Coturnix japonica: one gene and its partners. The protein of the gene in region 3 interacts with the protein of the main gene of each other region in a pairwise test. Links are inferred from orthologs where the notes say so. Each region holds a gene or a part of one and is shown on either strand. Other genes may lie near its edges. The genes, in order: HMOX2, YAE1, CEP126 and NUDT21.

Region 1 (4,636 bases), on a different chromosome or scaffold from region 3:
TGTGCATTTGCAGCTGAAGAGGAGGAAGAAGAACTTCCAGCGTCCCAGGCAGCAGCTCGGGAAGAAGAAAAACTGGAGGCAGTGAGGAGCTACATCCGCTCAAACCCAGCCCTGTACGAGAGGATTCTCTTCTATGAACCTATTGAGCTGGCTGACCTACATGCAGAGTTGAAACTGAATGGTATTAAGATTTCCAAGGCAAAGCTGCTGGACTTCTTAGATGCTCAGTGCATCACCTTCACCACAGCTGGAGCCCGGAAAGAGAAGGAACAGAAGAGAAAAGGGAGCAAAAAAAAGAGGAAACGATACTGAATAGATCCCACTCCTCTATCCTGAAAATTTCCTACATGGAGGCCTTCCTCCTAAGGTGGAAACCCTATTCCAGGCTGGTGCTGGCGGAGGTGGTGTGATCAGTGGGTGCACTGCTCCTCCTTGTGGCCTGCTGTCCAGATGACACGCTGGAGAATGGATCTGAACTGAGCTTCAGCTCTCAGCCCTCCTCTGAGCTGCACAAACTCCTCTTTCAAGGAGCCTTTTTACATTCCCTGAGTTTCATCCTGTGCATTCTCTTCTCTTACCATTTTAGCAGGTTTTAGATCCCCAGCATCTCTTCTTGTTGGTGCTTCTGAGGTGGTTGCTTCCTCCAGTGGTGCTTGCCATGGTATTTGCCCCAGCCTTGGCCTGAACCCTTCATGTTCCAGTACTGACTGCAATAACCCATGTGTGTTTCACAAGTGGCTGCAGCACAGTGCAGGTGTTTTTCTGCTCTATTTGTGGTGGCTCCCCGAAGTGCTCTGTGACACCAGATGTCAGGTAGAAGCCATTAAGGTTTGTACGTTCAGTTGCGTGTGTTCACTTACATGCAGACATTGGTGCTAAAGACATTACCAGCTCCGTTTTCTGAGCACTGTTTTACCTTATCATTGTAGCCTGTGATCCCAACAGTGGCTTTTTTAAGGACAATGTTGTAGTGACCAATGGATCTCTCCAGCAGTTCTCATGTCCTGATCTTTGTGGACCTGTTTCATTTCCAAACTGAACCGATCCTTGGTTGGAAACTGTCTGGGTCTCTTGGGGAAGCCTCGGACACTAAATATTCACCTTATTTCACCTTATTTATTAACTTTTACAACACCTTTGGATTTTGCTCTGAGTCTGCAGATTCTCACTCAGCAAAACAGGCGCAATAATCAAAAGAAGCAAAAGCTTGATTTGAATGTATTTATGTATTTGGAACGTCTTTATTATTTTGTTTGATCCAGCACTGCCTCGGTTTTATTTGATTTATATACAATAAATAATTCGGAAGGAAATAATACTAAGCTATAAGTGATGTCTCCCGAGGGACTTTTAGGGGTGTTTCTAAGCAGAAACGTTGGGTTTGGATGAGAGCAGGAGGAGCTGTGCACAATGTGGAGTTCACATAGTCTGTGTGAAGAGGCGACATGGAAATGTATTGCTATTGACCGAAGTGATAAGGATTGACCTATGTGATAAGGATTGACCACGCTGCCGTCGGCGCATGCGCAATATCAAACCGAGGGGGCGGGGCTTGCCGTGACGCCCCGTGTCCCCATTGGCTGCCGGTGAGGCGGGGCAGAGCGGAAGCTCCACCCCTCGCTGTGACGTACAGCCTTCTCCTCCAATCACAGCTCTCCCCGCGGGGTAAATGCGGCCCGGCAGCTGCGGCCCTTTGTCATACCGAGCGGGCGGCGGGTGAGTGTGCGCCGCGTCTCCATGGCAACAAGGCCGGGCCGGGGTCGCGCTGAGGTGGCGGCGGGCCGGGCTGCTGGGCCGCAATAGGGCTGAGGCCTTGCTGAGGCCTTGGGCTTGTCCTGGGGTGGTCGAGGTGTCTGTCTGGTCCTTCCTAGCGCTGCCCGGTGGGTGCTGGGCCCGGTGGGTGCTGGGCCCGCTGGGTGGGCTGGTTGCGGCCTGGTGCTGAGGGTGGGGGTGGGTCGGGGCCTTGTTTGGGCCTCCCCGTGTCCATCCTGTGTTACCTCCATCAGCCTCAGCGCTGGGAGCTGCGGGGTGCGAGGATGCTCCGGGCTGCTCTAATGTCTGTGTGTGTCACTGCGCTGCCCTCACAGCCCATAGGAGAACATAACCCCTGAAGGCAGGGCTGGACAAGTGAGCTGTGCTCTCTATAGGTGCTTCATTCCTCAGTCGTTGATGTGCTGGGCTGCAGCTCTGGGAGATAAACAGTGTTTGATTGGGCTTGGAGCGTGGCTTAAATCCAGGTGGAGCCTTAAATCCAGGTGGGATCTGGTAACGCAGCCATTTGTTCTGTGGGCTCCTTGGTCATGACCTCAATCAAAGATCCCATCTCTGGGGTCTGCCTTCCCCTTCAGAGATGCTTTAAAGCAAGGAGCTCAGCCGTGTGTGTTTGGGGAATGCCTTGGAGCTGTGTGCTGGTTGAATAGCAGAGATGAACTCTGTGTCGAGTGCTTGTCCTGTCAGTTACTGAACTCATGAGAGTGCCCAAGCAAAGCCAGGACTTCCACTCTTGTTTCCTTACTGCAGCAGTGTCTCTTGGATTCCTTTAGAAGGCATAGAATTATTTATTCTGCCTGCACTGAGAGCAATAGCTGTGCATGTTGAGTGTGAAGCTTGCTGTGTAGGGGGAAAACAAACTGCTGGCTGGATGAGATGGAGGTATTTTATAGGAGGGGCCGAGTGCTGTTATTGGGAAAGAAATATTTGGAGCTGAGCTGTTCTATACCAAATCTTCTCCAGCCCTGCTGTCCTGACTCCTGTGGCTGCTGGATCCCTCCCAGGCAGGCTGCTGGTGACTGTGTTTACTCTGAATGTCAGCCAGGAGCCTCATAGCAAATGCAGCAGTGCTCCAGCCCATGAAGCACAAGCAGGCAGCTGCTGGGAGCTCTGTATGTGTAGGTCACTGCCTCTCTCAGAGGAGTGGAGTGCTCCAAGTGAGCATCGCTTTGACCAGCAGCTGCATCGTGGGACAGAGCTCTGCAGGGTGTCCAGGGCTCCTGAGAGGTTTAGAAGTAGGTGAGGAACTGGAGGGTGGTTAATTTATAACTAGCATCCTTTGCTTTTGCATCTCATGAGTGTGGAGCCACTGACTGTTCTGCCAGCTCATGCTCTGTATGAACTTGCTTGGCCTGCTCTCAACTGCTTGTCTGATCTGCTCTCCTCCTGTCCCCAGATGCAGCCTACCAGGGAGGCCTGAACCCAGCACTGGGAGGGGAGCCGGCTCCTTTACAGCCATGGTTTGCTGAAGAGCCAGCAGGAAGCTTAGCTCCTTGCTCATCTGCCAAGGCTGCCTGTAATTTGGGGGAGTAATCAGCACAAAGCTGATTACAGCTCCATTTTATAAATGGGATGCCTGGATTTATGGCCAAGCCAGAGTATTCAGCTGGTGTAAGCCAAGTGTCTTGCTCCTGGCTCTGGGTACTTCTTGTGTGTGCTGTTATATCGTATGAGAAAGAAAATCTACCTCTGTTTTGGAATGTTATCTGCTCTGTTGCAGGGAAGGCTTCTATAAAAACATCAGGTGGCTGCCCCTCACCACCCTGCATGGTGGTGCAGCTGCAGGGCTCCCTGTTGGTCTGCTCTGTGTTTCTTCCCCATTGCTCTTGTTAAGGCAGCTTCCCTCTAAAATCCCTCTCTAATTTTGCCTTTCAGAGTCTCTGATCTCCAGAACAAACCAGCAATGCCGTCAGTTATGGAGAGCTCAGAAGGAGGAGATGAAGGGGAAAGCTTACGCTATGAGGATGTGGAAGATGACAATGTCAGGTGGGTGCTGCTGGCACTGTCTGGTAACGTGGCACAGAGCTGGGTTTGGGCAGGGCATATCAAGCTCAAGTTCAGTGATCTCCTTGTTCATACGTGGTCTTCTCCAGCTGAAAACCAGTCCAGCCAAGACTGAGGCTGCCCTGCAGTTGGGGTTAGATGTTCCTACAGCATAGGAACAAATGCAAAGGCTGCAAAGGAACAGAGGCTGTTCCTGTAAGGTGATGTACGCAGAGCAAGTTCTGCAGAACTTCTTCAAAGGTCTGAACAGAATGGTTGGTTATCCCTCCAAACAACAAATAGCTGTGTGCTGTTATACACAGTGCAGCTGCTCTCTAAACTGTGTTTTATAGGGAAAATTTTCCTTATATGAGAATGGTGAGTTGGGTGGTTCCAGAATACTGAAGTGAGCTGATTGCTCTTTGACTTGACAGGCTCAGCTTCATGGAGGTTACCACTCCCTGGCTTTCCTGTTGTGTTCAGCCTGTTAAATGCATGAGTATGGAGCATTCAAAACATCTTTTTTACAGCTGATATAAACATGTTACCTGTTGCAAACCAGCCATAAAAACAGGGTTAGGTGCACTGTGGCATAATTTTGTGGGTGTAGGTGTTGATACCTGTACTGAATTCCAGGTAAGTGCAGTAGCTGTGATCCAAGATAATAAGTTTTTAGAAGGAGAGCTTGTGGAAACATGCAGAACCAGCAGAATTCAGGAGAAATACATGGTTTTTGTTTTTGTTTTTTTCCCTTTAAGAGTGTTCATGCCCTATTTTGTCACTGGGCTCTCATCTTCAGTGTTTGCCCAGGGAGGCTGTGGATGCCCCATCCCTGGGGGCATTCAAGGCCAGGCTGAATGTGGCTCTGGGCAGCCTGAGCTGG
Region 2 (4,418 bases), on a different chromosome or scaffold from region 3:
CTTGTGAATTATGAGGAAATCAACCGGTTCCTCCTTTGAGTTGGGTTAGAGGCACTGATGGCTGAAAGATGAGCGTGTGTGATACTGATCTGAATGGCAGCAATCCTTTATCAGAAGCATTATGCACAGTTATAACTGTAAAGGTTTTTACATTCATATACTTTACTTTTGGATATCTCTGCTGGCTGACTGCTTAATGGCAGCACTTAACACTAAGATCAAACTGATAAAAATCCTTCATAGTCTCATAGTCTCGTGCGGGTTGGAAGGGACCTAAAAGATCACCGAGTCCAACCCCCCGGGATTCGGGCCTCTGTGTAGCAGAGCGGCAGTTCTACCACTTGCGCCACAGGGGGGATTCGAACCCAACCCTAAGCTGTTGCAACGCGGCATTTCTACCACTGCGCCACCGGGAAACACAATTCCTAGTCATCTCCAAGAATGCCTTAACAATCCTAAGCTCTGCACAATTGTGTAATGGCCCCCTGAAAACTCCCCCCCACACCCTCCAGGTGAGCAGAGAGTAACTGCTGAGCCAAGCATTTATGGTTCTAAGGTACCTTTGTATGCCAGATATCTGACTGAAATTATCCAGATTTTAATATTAGAAATGGCAATGAATCACAAATCAATTCCTTGTTTATTTTTCACACTGTGGGGGGGGGATAACTCTTCTTATATACATATTCTGCAGAAATGCCAGAACAGTTCTGTAGCCTGTGAAATATTGTTCATGTGTTTTAATCCTCTGGTATGTGTCATTGCAAAACATCACCATAATACCCAGATGTTGCTTTATGTAGAACACACACAGGTTAGGAAAACGCCCCCACTCTGAGGCACTACACCTCACTCTCAAGCCCTGCTAGTAGTCATGTCAAGGCCGTCAGCATACAATTAACTTGTCTTCAGCAAGTACACTTCATAATCCAATAGTGCTGCTCTGTTTACACAATATGAGTCACTAAATTATCTGCTTCTAAAAGAAAGGGATGGGAATATGAGCCTTCATCATTATTCCTCATATGCACAAGGATTTGTCCTAAACAGACGTGTGTAGAATTATCAACCATGGTAAAATTAAGGCATTTAAACTGAGATAATCTGAATATGGGAAACTCACACTGACTCTGAGGTATGACTTATACACCTTTCCTAGAATATCAAGCAGCTGAGGGTAAAGAATAAGGTGATAAGCAAGAAGTAGGGCCGGTGCAGCAGCCCCGAGCAGGAGCACCCACATTCAGTCCTGCCATTACAACCACGCTCGCACTCCCTCCATGGGGCAAGGTCCTCCCTCCCCGGCCCGCCTCCTTGCGGAAGCTGTAAGTCTATGCCCTTACTCAAGATGGCTGCCGGCGTCCTGTGACTCAGACGGACTTGGAAGTCACGGTGCTGCTGATTAAGATGGCGGCTTTTTACGGGCCGCATCCGGGGCAGCGAAGTTAGCGTGCCCTCAGTCAAGATGGCGGCCCCCTGCGAGCGGAACAGCGCCGTGACTCGGCGGCCGTGGTGAGGGCTGAGGGCGGCGGGGACTCAGATGGCGCCGGCGAGGGGGGATTCTGGCTGCCGACAGGTCGGAAGAGGGATAGATCTTCTCGGTCCTGCAGTTTGTGGGGAGCTGCGGCGCCAGCCCGGGCTGTGAAATGGCGGGTTGTGGCCTGGCCGAGGGGCCTCTGCCTGGAGTCCCCCGGGCCAGGCTGTGCCTCCTCCCGTAGGGCCCTCAGGTTCCTCCTGCTGGTCTCCAGGTGTGCCGGGACGTGCTGGCATTGGGGGATTGCGGGCCTTAAATGCTGTTGGTATCTTCTGCAGTCAGTATCACTCTGAAATCTTATCATAGAGAACCAGGTGTACAGCTCTCTCATCTATCCAGCTCACTTTTCTTATGACATACCGAACAGTTTCTTCCTTCCCGCACCTGCTACCTTACACCATTAATTGCTGCATTTTGTTCTCCCTTCTCTGCTCTTTGTGTAGGGGCTATTTGTGAAACTCACTTTGGAGCTAATAAGCTGTCACTTAATAGAGATGGTTTAAGGAAATATAACATCTGGTAGCAAGTGCTGTCTTGCTGAATATCTTGAAAAATAATCTCTCAAGCCTGAGGTACTGTTGTAAAGTTGTATTTACTTGGATGTTTTCACCACTTTTTGATTGGACATTGGGAGGGATAAGCTGATTAAGCAGTCAGTTCACATTAGTGAACTTTGTGTATAAGAAGAACTGCAGTTCTTGGACCAGTTGTTTAACTGCTTTAATGCTTTCCAAAAGACTCTGTGTAATGGTACTGGAAATTCTGGAAGATTTGCTTAAGATAAAAATTGGATATGATGAACCCAGAAGCGTGATTTCACCACACTTCCTTGTATCCACCATTCTGTGGGTTGTAAGAATTTGCTCCAGTTAACTGTGAATGGCCTCTTAAGGTCTTATCAGTTCCTAAGATGAAGTAATCACATTATTTATTCATCTCTTTACATCAGAACTTGCTAACTAATTATTAAAAAAAAAAAAAAAAAAAGTAATATTTTTATTCAGGATTTACAAGCATTAAGCATCTGGCAGAGTTAGGAAACTGAAGATCAAAGGTGCAACTCATCATCAGTTGTCAAGATCACAATATTGCAGGCAATTAGATATGCATATAATTTAATGCACTGCTTAGAAGCTGCATGGGACTATTTGTTGGCTGCTATCAAAATTTTATAGCTCTGGATAAGTGTTTCTGTCTGCTGTTCAAGTTACTAGCAACATATAGAAATGCTAATTTGGTGCACTTCTGTTTGTTGCTGACATAAGAAGCAAAGAAGGGAAGAAATTAGTCTTAAGTTGTCCTTGTAAATCACACAAGGTGCTTTACTGGTAATAATTTCTGTCTCCTTTGACAGATGAGCTCCAGTGAGGAATAGCATCCAGTTTTCACATGGAAATGAATGTACAGGTTGAATAATCATCCCCTGATACGGCTTCTCTTCAGAACTCATGTTTTTTACTTTTATTTCTAATCTGACACTTAGCTGGGAGACTTCTGAGAGTTTCTCAGTATTTGCTTTAGGCCATAAACAAAAGTTAAGTGTCATCACTGCTGCTATGTCCTGGGTACAAGTTGTAGCTAGTCGATCCAATGAGGACATATTTGATGAAGATGCAGATGAGATGTATCCAGTACAGAAAGAATGGAATAACACCATGAAAAAAAGATTGAAGGTATTTCTCTAAGCATGATTTTTATAGTCTTTTAAAATATTTTAGGTTTACCAGTAACATATCTTGCTAAAAATATGGCTGATTTAAATGAGAAAACTAAGAATGGCTGTATGAAAGTTATTGTGGCTTGGTTTCTTCTGAGTGTTAAAAAAAATTTAAGAGGAAGTTACTATCTTCAGTAGCCTGTCAGGACAAAGTAATGTTTTACCAAAAAAGATGTTGACTCCCTCTACACAACTATGTGCATTTCTGAATGGCAGTGCTAAATTCTCATGTAACCTACTTGCTTCATACTTGTAGGTTAATTGATGCTAACAAAGAATAGAGGATATTTGTTGGTGTTTTTTTGTTGGGTTTGTTTGTTTGTTTTTTTAATATTTGGTGTGAACTACTTCAGGTCTGAGTAGTTTTTTGGCTTATTTATTATCTTAGTGAAAAATACATTTTATGAAAGCAGAGAACAAAACAAATACATAAACTTGGGTTTCTCTGACAGATGTTTTCATTCAAACTGGGCCCACTAGGGCTTATCTTGTGGGTGAAGAACATAAATGTATGGTAATGTGATTAGAGGAGAAAGAAATAAATTTCAATTCTCCAAGGAAACTTTGTTAAGGGAGTTGGTCAGCACAAAAGTAAAAGTGCTTTCCTGTAGACAAGTCTTTATTTTCTGACTTAGCTGGAGGTTTGTTTAGAAATGAACTGCATGTTAACAGATCAGCAGCATTAACAGTAAATTATAATGCACTGTAAAAAATGTGTTTTGCTTTAGCAGTGGTGTAGTTGAGTGCAGTGTTCAAATTAAAAAAAAAAAAAAAAAAAAAAACTTGGATTTAAGAGACTAAGTGCTTAAGGTTTTTTATTGTTGTAGAAGTGTTTGTAGGTCCAATTCTGCAGGCTGTGAAAAGTGTGTTTTACCACTTCTGTTATAGGAGGGCTATAGAGATGGTGTTGAGGCTGGGAAAGAGCTTGCAATTCAGGAAGGCTTCAATCAAGGTTATAGACAAGGTGCTGAGCTGATGGTTACGTGTGGTCAATTCAAAGGGACCCTGAAGTAAGTTACAAACCTCTTAAGAGTCTGTCCGCGTGAAAGGTATGTGTGGAAGATGCACGTGCATATGTGGTTGTGCTTGGGTTTTTGTTGTTGTTCATTTTTTAATTTTAAAAGTGCTTTATAAGTCTATCCGAAGCAAGCAGCATGAGAAGTCTTA
Region 3 (4,649 bases):
GAGAAATGGGCTAACAAAAATCTCATGAAGTTTGATAAGAAGTGCAGAGCCCTGCATCTGTGGACAAACAACCCCAGGCAGAAGTATATGCTGGGTTGCATCACGGTGAAAAGGAGAATAGAAGAAAAAGTCCTGGGGGTCCTGCTGAGCACTAAACTGAACGTGAGCCAGAAATGCTCCTCTGCAGCAAAGACCCCTAACAGTGTAGCGTTAGACAGAGTACTGCCAGCAGGGTGAAGGAGGTGATCCTTCTCCTCTACTTGGCATTAGTGAGGTCACACCTGCAGTAAAGTGCTGGACTCTGCAGTACACGAGAGACATGAACATACTGCAGAGAGTTCAGTGGCGTGCCTCCAGGATAATGAGGGGACTGGGGTACCTCTCCTGTGAGGAGAGGCTGAGTGAGTAGGGCCTGTTGAGCCTGTAGATGAGGAGGCTCTGGGGGATGTCATCAATGTGCAGTAATACCTGAAGGGATGGTGCGAAGAGGAAGAGTCAGACTCTTTTTGGTGGTGTCCAGTGCCAGGACAAGAGACAGTGGTCACAAAGTGGAACACAGCAGGGTCCATCTGAACACCAGAAGCACTTCTGTGCTGTGCAGGTGATGGAGCACTGGCATAGGCTGCCCAGAGAGGCTGTGGAGTCTGCTCCTTCCAAAGGCACCTGGATGTGCTCCTGAGCACCCTGCTTCTGAGGCAACCTGAGCAGGGGGTGGATTAGATGGCCTCCAGTGCTCTCTTCCAACCTCAGCCATTCTGCGTGAAGGTTAGAAGTAGCAATAAGACTGCAGGATTTCACACTGTACCCATTTATGCTGCATATGTTGAAAGAAGAAAAATAATGAAAGGAAATTCCAGTTTTGAGAACATAAGGTAGCAGTGCCAAGAATAACTTCTGATGCTTGCCTATAAGCATATAAGCCCTGTCAGAGCATATTTAAGGTGCTGCCAGGTGAGAACTCGAAGCTTAAGGGAGTCACACAGTCCTTGAGAGTCATCATAGCTAGCACCTCCACAGCATGTTACAAAGATAATCGTTCTTGGCTCACAAGCAGATTTGAGACATAGCCACAATGGCTCTTGGTTTGGAATTTGACAGCTGCCTTATTTACATTTAGCAGAATACTTGTCCTCACAGATTTCCATCTGAACCACTTATGATGCTTATTCTCAATTATCACAAATGGAAATAACGTTCTAATTTTTTTAACTGGCTCACCTGGGTAATTTGGCCCTGTATAATACTCCTATATACTGTATAATACTCCTAAGGCCATACTGAAATGAATATGGAAATGTATTTACATATCAGCAAGTGTTAGTTTAGCTATTCCAGTCTGTCAAAAATATGCAGGTTGTCTCTGTTTGCTTTTCCATCAGCAAATAATATTTCAAGACAGGTAACATGATAAATAGTGTTCAGCTGAGATGTGTAGTGTTACAGTGCTGCCGTTCCATAAAACTAAAGAAGATATTTAATCTTTCAGCTGAGGCTTGGTATATTATCTGCAAAGGCTGCGGGTCTTTAATCGCTCCCAAGTGGTACTTCCTCATCCATTTTTCTTTGTGTTCCATAATGTGTGCTGACAGCACAGTATGTCAATCATCTGTGGAGCTAAAACAGCAGTATAAATACTATCTGCTGCCTATAAAGACTGTCTGCAAGGTCAGAGCAACAACGTGTGTATGTGGTCCATCAAAGTAGAACTCAGAATATTGTTCCCTTATAATTTATTTTAGGTTTAGTGAATTTTTTATGCCCAGGTTCAATTCCTCTGGGAAAAGCAGTGAGGCTGCTCAGCAAAGTGAACGTGCACATTGCAGAAACACACTGACCTGTCTCAAACTTCTGTCTCAGCTTTTTCTAACCTCCCACAGAACAGCCCTTGTTACTCACCTCCTTCTTCTATTTGTCTCCATCAAGTACTTCCTTGCTCTGCTCCGATGCAGCCTTTGATCTTCTTTCAGTGCCCAGCGTTCTTCTTCTAAATCCCATCCCAAGGGCACTGCTACAGCTCTGTCCCTGGCTCTGTGTTAAGGACAGTGCTGGCCGTGTCTCAGCAGCTCATGACAGATGCAGAAGCTGCTGAATGGACCTTCATGTGCCTTTGTGAGCAAAGGGCAAACTTTATCCCATCACATTCAAGACACTGATAGACTGTTTGGTGAATTACACAACAGTTGCTCCCAGAGATACGTATTATGGCCATAATTCATTCACTGTTCATCTGGAAAAAAAAAATAATAACGTAGCTACATTTTACTGTTTACAGTAAATTTAACACATCACAGGATCACAAAATTGAATTGGATGGGACACCTAAAGACCACCTGGTCCATCTCCCCTGCAGTGAACACCTACAGCTCCATCAGGTGCTCAGAGCCCTTTCCAGCCTGACCAGTAGTGTCTGCATGGACGGGGCACCACCACTCTGGGCACCCCGTGCCTCTTACCATACAAATGGTGCCCCCTGTGCCCCGTACCATCAAAACCATCAAAAACTAGGGCTGGGAATGTGGGCTGCCACCCTGCCGCACTGTCACAGAGCCGCCCCGCACCCCCGGCCCCACAGGGCCCACCCCGCCGTGTGGCGAGGAGCGGGCGGCCATTCCCGGTCAGGCAGTTCCTGAGGGCGGCGGTTCCGCCGCTCGCGGAAGGATACGCGCTCAGCTCCGCGCCCGCCCCGCGTCCCGCCGAGCGCTGGAGGTGCCGCCTCCACAGCGCAGCGCCGTCCGTCCCGCCGGGCTCCATGGAGCGGCCCGGCTCCTGTGGCCGCACCGCCGCCATCGTAGCAACGGGAGACGCCGCTTCCTTCGCAACGGGGCGGGGCGGCGGGGAGCGGCCGATGGGACGGGCCGAGGGGCGGCGGTTTGCCGGGAGCCGCCTCGGTTGGGCTTCGGAGCGGAGCGGGCGAGCTGTCCCAGTGCCTCACTGCTATTACCACAAAAAACTAAATCTCCTAACTAAGATTCATCTCCTACGTCTAAATCTCGTCTCTTAGTTTGAAACCATTTCCCTTTGTCCCATCAAAAGAGACCCTGATAAAGTGTCTGTCCCCTTATTTCTTTCAGCCCCCCTTTAGATACTGAAAGGCTGCTCTCAGGTCTCCCCAGAGCCTTCTTCAGGCTGAACAGCCCCAGCTCTCAGCCTGTAAATGATACCATAAAAGACTTCACCGAGAAAAGAGTCATGCAAATGGGACTGAATCACAGCTGTAAAACAGCTACCAAATTTGAGCTTATGTCATGCTTAGAAAGAATTTAAACTTCTCAGTCTTACTGTATATTTTTATCTTATCCAGGAAAACTCGTAACTGAATTCTTCTTAAATTCAGTATTAAGAATGGTCTTCAAATCTTTCTTTCTCTCTTCTAACACCTTTTCCTCTTTGTTCTTCTTCACAGCCCCACTCTGTAGCCTCCTCCAGGTCATTAGCTGCTTTTCTTGGTGAATAAGCTGAGCACCATGTACTGCAGAGCTGGATGGTTATTCTAGCAAACAGCTCGATCTCAAATGGTTACAAAATGGAAGATCCCGCTCTGGCAGCTGATTTGGAAGAAGTTTCATAACTTTTAATGTGAGCTGGAGACAGATATTCCAGTAAAGGATAAAGATCAACTTTAAAATCTTTGTGGGACAGACTGAATTTATTACTAATCTGATTTGAAGGCTGGAGCACAGCTATGCTGCTGCAGGAACATTTTTCTTTCCTTCTTGTTCCAGGGGGGATTAATCTGCTAATGCCCTTTAGCTTTCTTCCAGGTTTCATTTTAACTGTGTAGGGGAGGAGTTCAGCCAAGGATCTGCCCATTGTAACCATTCCTTCCTGAAATTTGCCATCCCTTCCTACTTCTGTGTATAGGAAGAGGAGTGAAAACCTTAGTGTCACATATAGTCAGCAAAGAAAACCTTTTCACCTTAACTCCCCAAGACTGTAGCATGGATCGTAACCTGCATCTTTGTAAGCAAGCATCAACTGGTGCACTGGTAACATTCCAGAATTCCTATCTTGGAAGGCTATAAAGTATTCCAGAACAGATTAAACATTTGATTACATTGGATCCCGACTAACAGAAGTTGTTAAAAATGTCACAGAGAACTTCCATGTGAATGCTCCCTTCTGAGGAATGGGCCAGTTAAGGGCACTGACTGCCCTGTAACTACTGATTTTGAAACAAAGCATTGCACTAAAAAATGGAATAATATGTGGATTTAACACTGAATTTATCCCCCACTTGCAACTGCTTTTAAATCTCACTGTAGTAAAGGCAATTTCCAGTGTATGTCAGGTTTGGACAGGGGTGGATGTGAACACAGCACTGAGACCAATGTAGGACGTTGGCTGTCCTTGTTTGAGGCGACACTCAAGAGTTTGTTCTGAAAGTAATTCAGATGTGACATATCCCAGAGGTGTGGAGCAAAATGAGGTTTGGACATAAGCTAAAATTGCTTTCACAACCAAATCTTGTGTTCTGCCACCCCACGAAGGAAAACACCTTCAGTTTAATGATAAAAGCCTTTTAAAATGTTGAAAATCAATACCTTTTTCTTTTTTTTTTTTTTCTTTCATTGAGCCTAAATTACTCACTACCAAACACAAATACCGGTGCTCAAAACCAGCATGTAAGAATCTGCCATGCTTTTACCACA
Region 4 (4,585 bases), on a different chromosome or scaffold from region 3:
GAGGCGAAAATGCAGTTCTTGGAAGGGCAGCACTAACACCACAAGGTTAATTTCTGTGGGATTTTACTGTAATTAACCTACTCTGAAGATGTGGAAATACAATTCCTGTCACCCACCACAGTGGGTGGATTAACCAAGGTCTGCTTTTTGATACACAGCTGCCCTGCAAGATGTTTGTGCTGCAGTGGAGGGAAAGGGAATCCCTGAGCATTGAGCAGTTGGTTGCATAGAAGACTTACAAGCAGTACAAGTGTTCCTTGCCTGCCATAGCAACGTGCATGCAAGGGGTGAGATAGCCTGGATGGAACAGCCACCATCCAGGGTTGGAATACCAGCCTTGGGCCCTGCTGCAGCTGCAAGCAGCATGACCACAGTAATGGGGAAGGGTCAGGAGGCGTTAGGGACAGGCTGTGGTTCACTGGGTGGTGGGCTCAGCCCCAAGCTCCAGAGCTGAGGGAGCGCTAGGACGCTGCTCTCAGACTCGGGGTTTGGGTGGTGCCATGTGGAGTCAGGAGGCTGGTGGGCAGACTGACCTGTGCTCTCATACTTGGCGCAGGAGATGTCAATGGAGGGCTCCAGCTCAATGTGGGTAACAGCCTCCAGCCACGCTCGCAGGGTCCCGCTCAGCGCCCGCCTGGGGAGCAAAGCACAGGGTGAGGCAGGCCCAGGATGTGCTGCCCCGTGGACCCTGCTGCCTTACCTCAGTGCACTGACGTGGGGCTCCGGCCTGGCCCCCAGCTCCTCGGACTGCGGCAGCATGGGGAGAGATGGAGAAAAGCATTGAAGAAGGTGCTGAAGGAGACCTCACGGCTCTGCAACCCCTAAAAGGAGGTTGTGGTGAGGATGGGGTTGGCCTCTGCTCCCAGGGGACAGTGATAAGGTGAGAGCGATGGCCTCGTGTTCTGTCAGAGGGTCAGGGTGGCCATTGGGGAACATCTGCGCTCTGAAAGAGCAATGAGGCAACGGCACAGCTCAACGGGGAGGGGGGGGGTGTCAACCATCGCTGGGGTGTCCCAGAGTGGTGTTGCTGTGGCACTGCGGGCTGCAGGCAGTGCGCACTCTGTGCTCTATGTCGCTCAGTGCACTCTGTGCTCTATGTCGCTCAGTGCACTCTGTGCTCTATGTCGCTCAGTGCACTCTGTGCTCTATGTCGCTCAGTGCACTCTGTGCTCCCTGTCGCTCAGCCCCGCTCCCGTCCCGTCCCACCTGGTGCACTGTCAGCAGGTCGTTCCGTCTCTCCCTGTATCCCAGGCCCAGCAGCTCATCGCCCAGCGCCGCCGCGAATGCCGGGCTGGCCAAGAGGCCGCGCAACACGCCGTGCCGGAACGGGGCCCGCTCCACCGCTACGGCCTCTGCGGGGACAAAGCGGGCGGTCAGTTCGGCAGGCGGCAGTAGGATGAAAGCCGCTAGACCCCCCCTAGGGCCCATCCCGTACCGTGCCGGAGCGGCTCCCCGCCGTCCCAGGCCGCTGCCGCCCGCTCCCGTAGCTCCACATCACCGATGGCTGCACACAGCTCGGCCTCCACCTCCCGCCGCCCGCGCTTCTCCACACCGCGCCCGCCCGCCGCTCCGCGCCGCTTGGCCCCCATGCCGCCGCCGCACACCGAACTACCAATCCCAGCCGTCCCTGCGTGTGCCGAGCCAATCAGAGAGCGTGGGGGGCGGGGAGAGGGGTAGGGCGCCCTACGATTGGCCAGGAGGGACGACTCAGCGGCGGGCGCCGTCGGAAGTGGAAGGCGGGCGCTTCCGGCAGAGCGGGGCCGCTTGGCCCGCCGGGAGTTGTATGGCGGATCGACTTCCCGCCGCCTCCCGCCATGTCCGTGGTGCCGCCCAACCGCTCGCAGACCGGCTGGCCCCGCGGGGTGAACCAGTTCGGGAACAAGTACATCCAGCAGACTAAGCCGCTGACCTTGGAGAGGACCATCAACCTGTGAGGGCCGCGCTGGGGGCGGGAGGAACCGGCTGGAACCGCTCGGGGGTCGGAGCGGGAGGGGAGCGGTGCGTGATAGTGATAGTGACAGTGATAGTGATAGTGATAGTGATAGTGATAGTGATAGTGATAGCAATAGTGATAGTGATAGCAATAGTGAGAGTCCGGAACGGCGGGGAGAAAAGGGGCCTCACAGCGCTGCGGGAACAACCAGCCGGGGGGACACACACGGCCCCGCCATCAAAGGCTGCACAGGCACCATCCGCTGCTCGGCCACCATCGGGGATGGAGCAGCCCGAACTCTGGGCGGCCGCTGAGTAAAGAATGTTCCCTCTTTTAGTCTTAATTCACTTCATCTTATCGCTGCCTGTGTAAAAAATCACTCTCCCTATGGACCTGCTACAACAGCTCCGTACCCTTCCTATGCTGGGGGACACAAATTCTCCAGGTGGGGTCTCGTGAGGACAGAGCAAAGGGGACAGTCCCTTTTCTCTTCGTGTTGCCATCCCTCAGTTGATGCAGCCTTTCTCTTGCCTTTCCAGGCTGCAGCACACTGTCTCATGTCTCATTTTTCATCCATCAGAAGCCCCAAGACCTCTGCAGGGCTGCTCTTAGTGAAGGCTTAAAGGGACAAGAGAGGAGCTTCCTCTCCCTTTTCTCCAGGCTGCGGAGTCAAAGCAGGTGGCTGCAGAGTAGCTGTAGATGCTTCTGGTTGTGTTTGCCTGTTTCTGGGTTGGCACCATGACAACGTATCCCACCGGCATGACTTCCTGCCCTCATGAGCCATGGTGCAGCCCTTGGCATGGCATGGGGTGTGCAGTGCAGCATGCAACCCAGACCTTGTAGTCCTTTGCAATGAGTGAGTTTCTGCTCCCTCGAGTACAGAAGGCTCAGCTGCAGGGTGAACACTGCGTGCTAGAGGTGTCAATTTAGCTTTCTTATTATGTAGTAATACTTTTTTTCCCCTTTAGGTATCCTCTCACCAATTACACATTTGGCACAAAGGAGCCCCTTTATGAGAAGGACAGTTCAGTGGCTGCTCGGTTCCAGCGCATGAGAGAAGAGTTTGACAAGATTGGCATGAGGCGGACAGTGGAAGGAGTTCTGATAGTGCACGAGCACCGGCTGCCCCACGTGTTATTACTGCAGCTGGGGACGACGTTTTTCAAGCTGTAAGTGCCTGCTTCTTGAAAGCACCTTCTTAGTCCAACCAGAAAATTACAGACCTCTTGAAATGTACATATCGCAAAGTAAGATGTGGCCAACTCTGCTTGGTGTTTTTAATGAGATTCATTTGTTCCAAGCGCATGGTTTGTGAGAACTGTTTTTAAAATGATGAAATTTCCCTCTAAAATGTATTTATCTGACTCTACTCGTGGGTAGTGGAGAGTTGCCTTGGTTCTAAAGTCTCTGGAAATCTTTGTTGCACTCTGGTAGGTTCCTGTTGGAAGCCCTGCTGGTAGTCAGGGTTTGGTCTTACACTGTGCAAGCTGTTATGCTTAAATACACTTATGCTACGGCTGCAAAAATGGCAAACCCTGGGAAATGAGTAGTGGTTATGAATTTACAAACTGCTGGGTCAGCTGGGTATAAGAGGGACAGGAATCTCAATTTGTGAGGGAAGTGCTTCAATTATTCCAGTGTTATCACAACTGGAAGGAAGTTTTGGTCATATGATTATAGTGGTGGTCACGCTTGTTTTCTTATTTTAAAATGGTTCGACTTGGGACAGGTGATTCTCCTTGTATTCTTGGTTTTATGTTTTTAACATTTGCAGTGTTTGGTCTCAGGTGAGGAGTAAAATTATCTCTATATCCAGATTCTTTTTTGATATGGGGCATGTATGTAGATGAAATAGGCACATTGTTTGCCTTTGCAAACAACTATGACGAGAATGTATCTTCATTTTTCTCATTATCCTTGCATGAAATGCAGGATAATTCTCCACTTGAGTTTTATGCTTCCTGCACACGTCACTAAGTACTGCTTTTGAGATTAGAACAAGCACAGCTGGTGTTTACAACCCCTTCTTCAACTTCAGTGCTTTTCTATTATTGTTAAAACTTAACCTTCTAAGTGTCTCTATCATTATTATGTATATTGTTATACTTCATCCCACTGAAGTTATTATTGTTGGCCTGTTTTGCTTTGTTTTGTTTTTTAAGGGGCACGTAGCAGCCATTAGAGATGGTCTTGGTGAAATCTACCCTATTGTCTTCAGATTGGGCATGGTTAGATTTAGAACCTCAAATGCAAAAACCTTGAGTGAATTTGTAGCTGCAAGCATGGAAATGTGTCCAAACTTACCTGTGAAAGTCTGCTAACACTGTAAAACATAACTCTAGCTTTAATCATTGATTATTTTAACAGACCTGGTGGTGAACTCAATCCAGGAGAAGATGAGGTAGAAGGGCTCAAACGCTTAATGACAGAGGTCTGTTTTCTTTTGTTATGTCGCAATACTAGAATGTTGTGGAATGTTGAATGATGTTAGAGTTAGTAGAATAGCCAAAGAACTGCAGCAGTCTCCTCGTCACTTGTCATTTTAATGCTGTAAAATGTTCTCAGGTCACTAACAACAAAGTATTACAGTAAGCTCTCGCTTATCCTCATGAGAGTGTAACCCAGTGGTCTGTCTTCCCCCCGAGTCCTGTG

The links.
Region 1: the proteins of CEP126 (region 3) and HMOX2 interact in a two-hybrid assay, tested with the Homo sapiens proteins (2 studies listed by BioGRID and IntAct). The link is inferred for Coturnix japonica from reciprocal best matches to the Homo sapiens genes CEP126 and HMOX2.
Region 2: the proteins of CEP126 (region 3) and YAE1 interact in a two-hybrid assay, tested with the Homo sapiens proteins (2 studies listed by BioGRID and IntAct). The link is inferred for Coturnix japonica from reciprocal best matches to the Homo sapiens genes CEP126 and YAE1.
Region 4: the proteins of CEP126 (region 3) and NUDT21 interact in a two-hybrid assay, tested with the Homo sapiens proteins (2 studies listed by BioGRID and IntAct). The link is inferred for Coturnix japonica from reciprocal best matches to the Homo sapiens genes CEP126 and NUDT21.

What each region holds. Positions count from the first base shown.
Region 1 is NC_029529.1:10,968,075-10,972,710, reverse strand, and holds the start of HMOX2 (heme oxygenase 2), read left to right. Parts: upstream 1-1,617; 5' UTR 1,618-1,669; coding exon 1,670-1,716; intron 1,717-1,773; exon of another isoform or gene 1,774-1,880; intron 1,881-3,645; coding exon 3,646-3,756; intron 3,757-4,636. Other genes in the region: structure-specific endonuclease subunit SLX4, read left to right, coding at 1-312.
Region 2 is NC_029517.1:76,799,602-76,804,019, reverse strand, and holds the start of YAE1 (protein YAE1 homolog), read left to right. Parts: upstream 1-1,411; 5' UTR 1,412-1,512; exon of another isoform or gene 1,513-1,576; intron 1,577-1,637; exon of another isoform or gene 1,638-1,748; intron 1,749-2,888; 5' UTR 2,889-2,982; coding exon 2,983-3,207; intron 3,208-4,139; coding exon 4,140-4,261; intron 4,262-4,418. UniProt on the Homo sapiens protein: The complex LTO1:YAE1 functions as a target specific adapter that probably recruits apo-ABCE1 to the cytosolic iron-sulfur protein assembly (CIA) complex machinery. May be required for biogenesis of the large ribosomal subunit and initiation of translation.
Region 3 is NC_029516.1:163,549,002-163,553,650, forward strand, and holds the start of CEP126 (centrosomal protein of 126 kDa), read right to left. Parts: upstream 2,911-4,649; 5' UTR 2,788-2,910; coding exon 2,663-2,787; intron 2,023-2,662; coding exon 1,897-2,022; intron 1-1,896. UniProt on the Homo sapiens protein: Participates in cytokinesis. Necessary for microtubules and mitotic spindle organization. Involved in primary cilium formation.
Region 4 is NC_029526.1:523,148-527,732, reverse strand, and holds the start of NUDT21 (cleavage and polyadenylation specificity factor subunit 5), read left to right. Parts: upstream 1-1,742; 5' UTR 1,743-1,814; coding exon 1,815-1,930; intron 1,931-2,901; coding exon 2,902-3,102; intron 3,103-4,300; coding exon 4,301-4,364; intron 4,365-4,585. Other genes in the region: prolyl 3-hydroxylase OGFOD1, read right to left, coding at 534-634, 701-747, 1,207-1,352, 1,436-1,589. UniProt on the Homo sapiens protein: Component of the cleavage factor Im (CFIm) complex that functions as an activator of the pre-mRNA 3'-end cleavage and polyadenylation processing required for the maturation of pre-mRNA into functional mRNAs.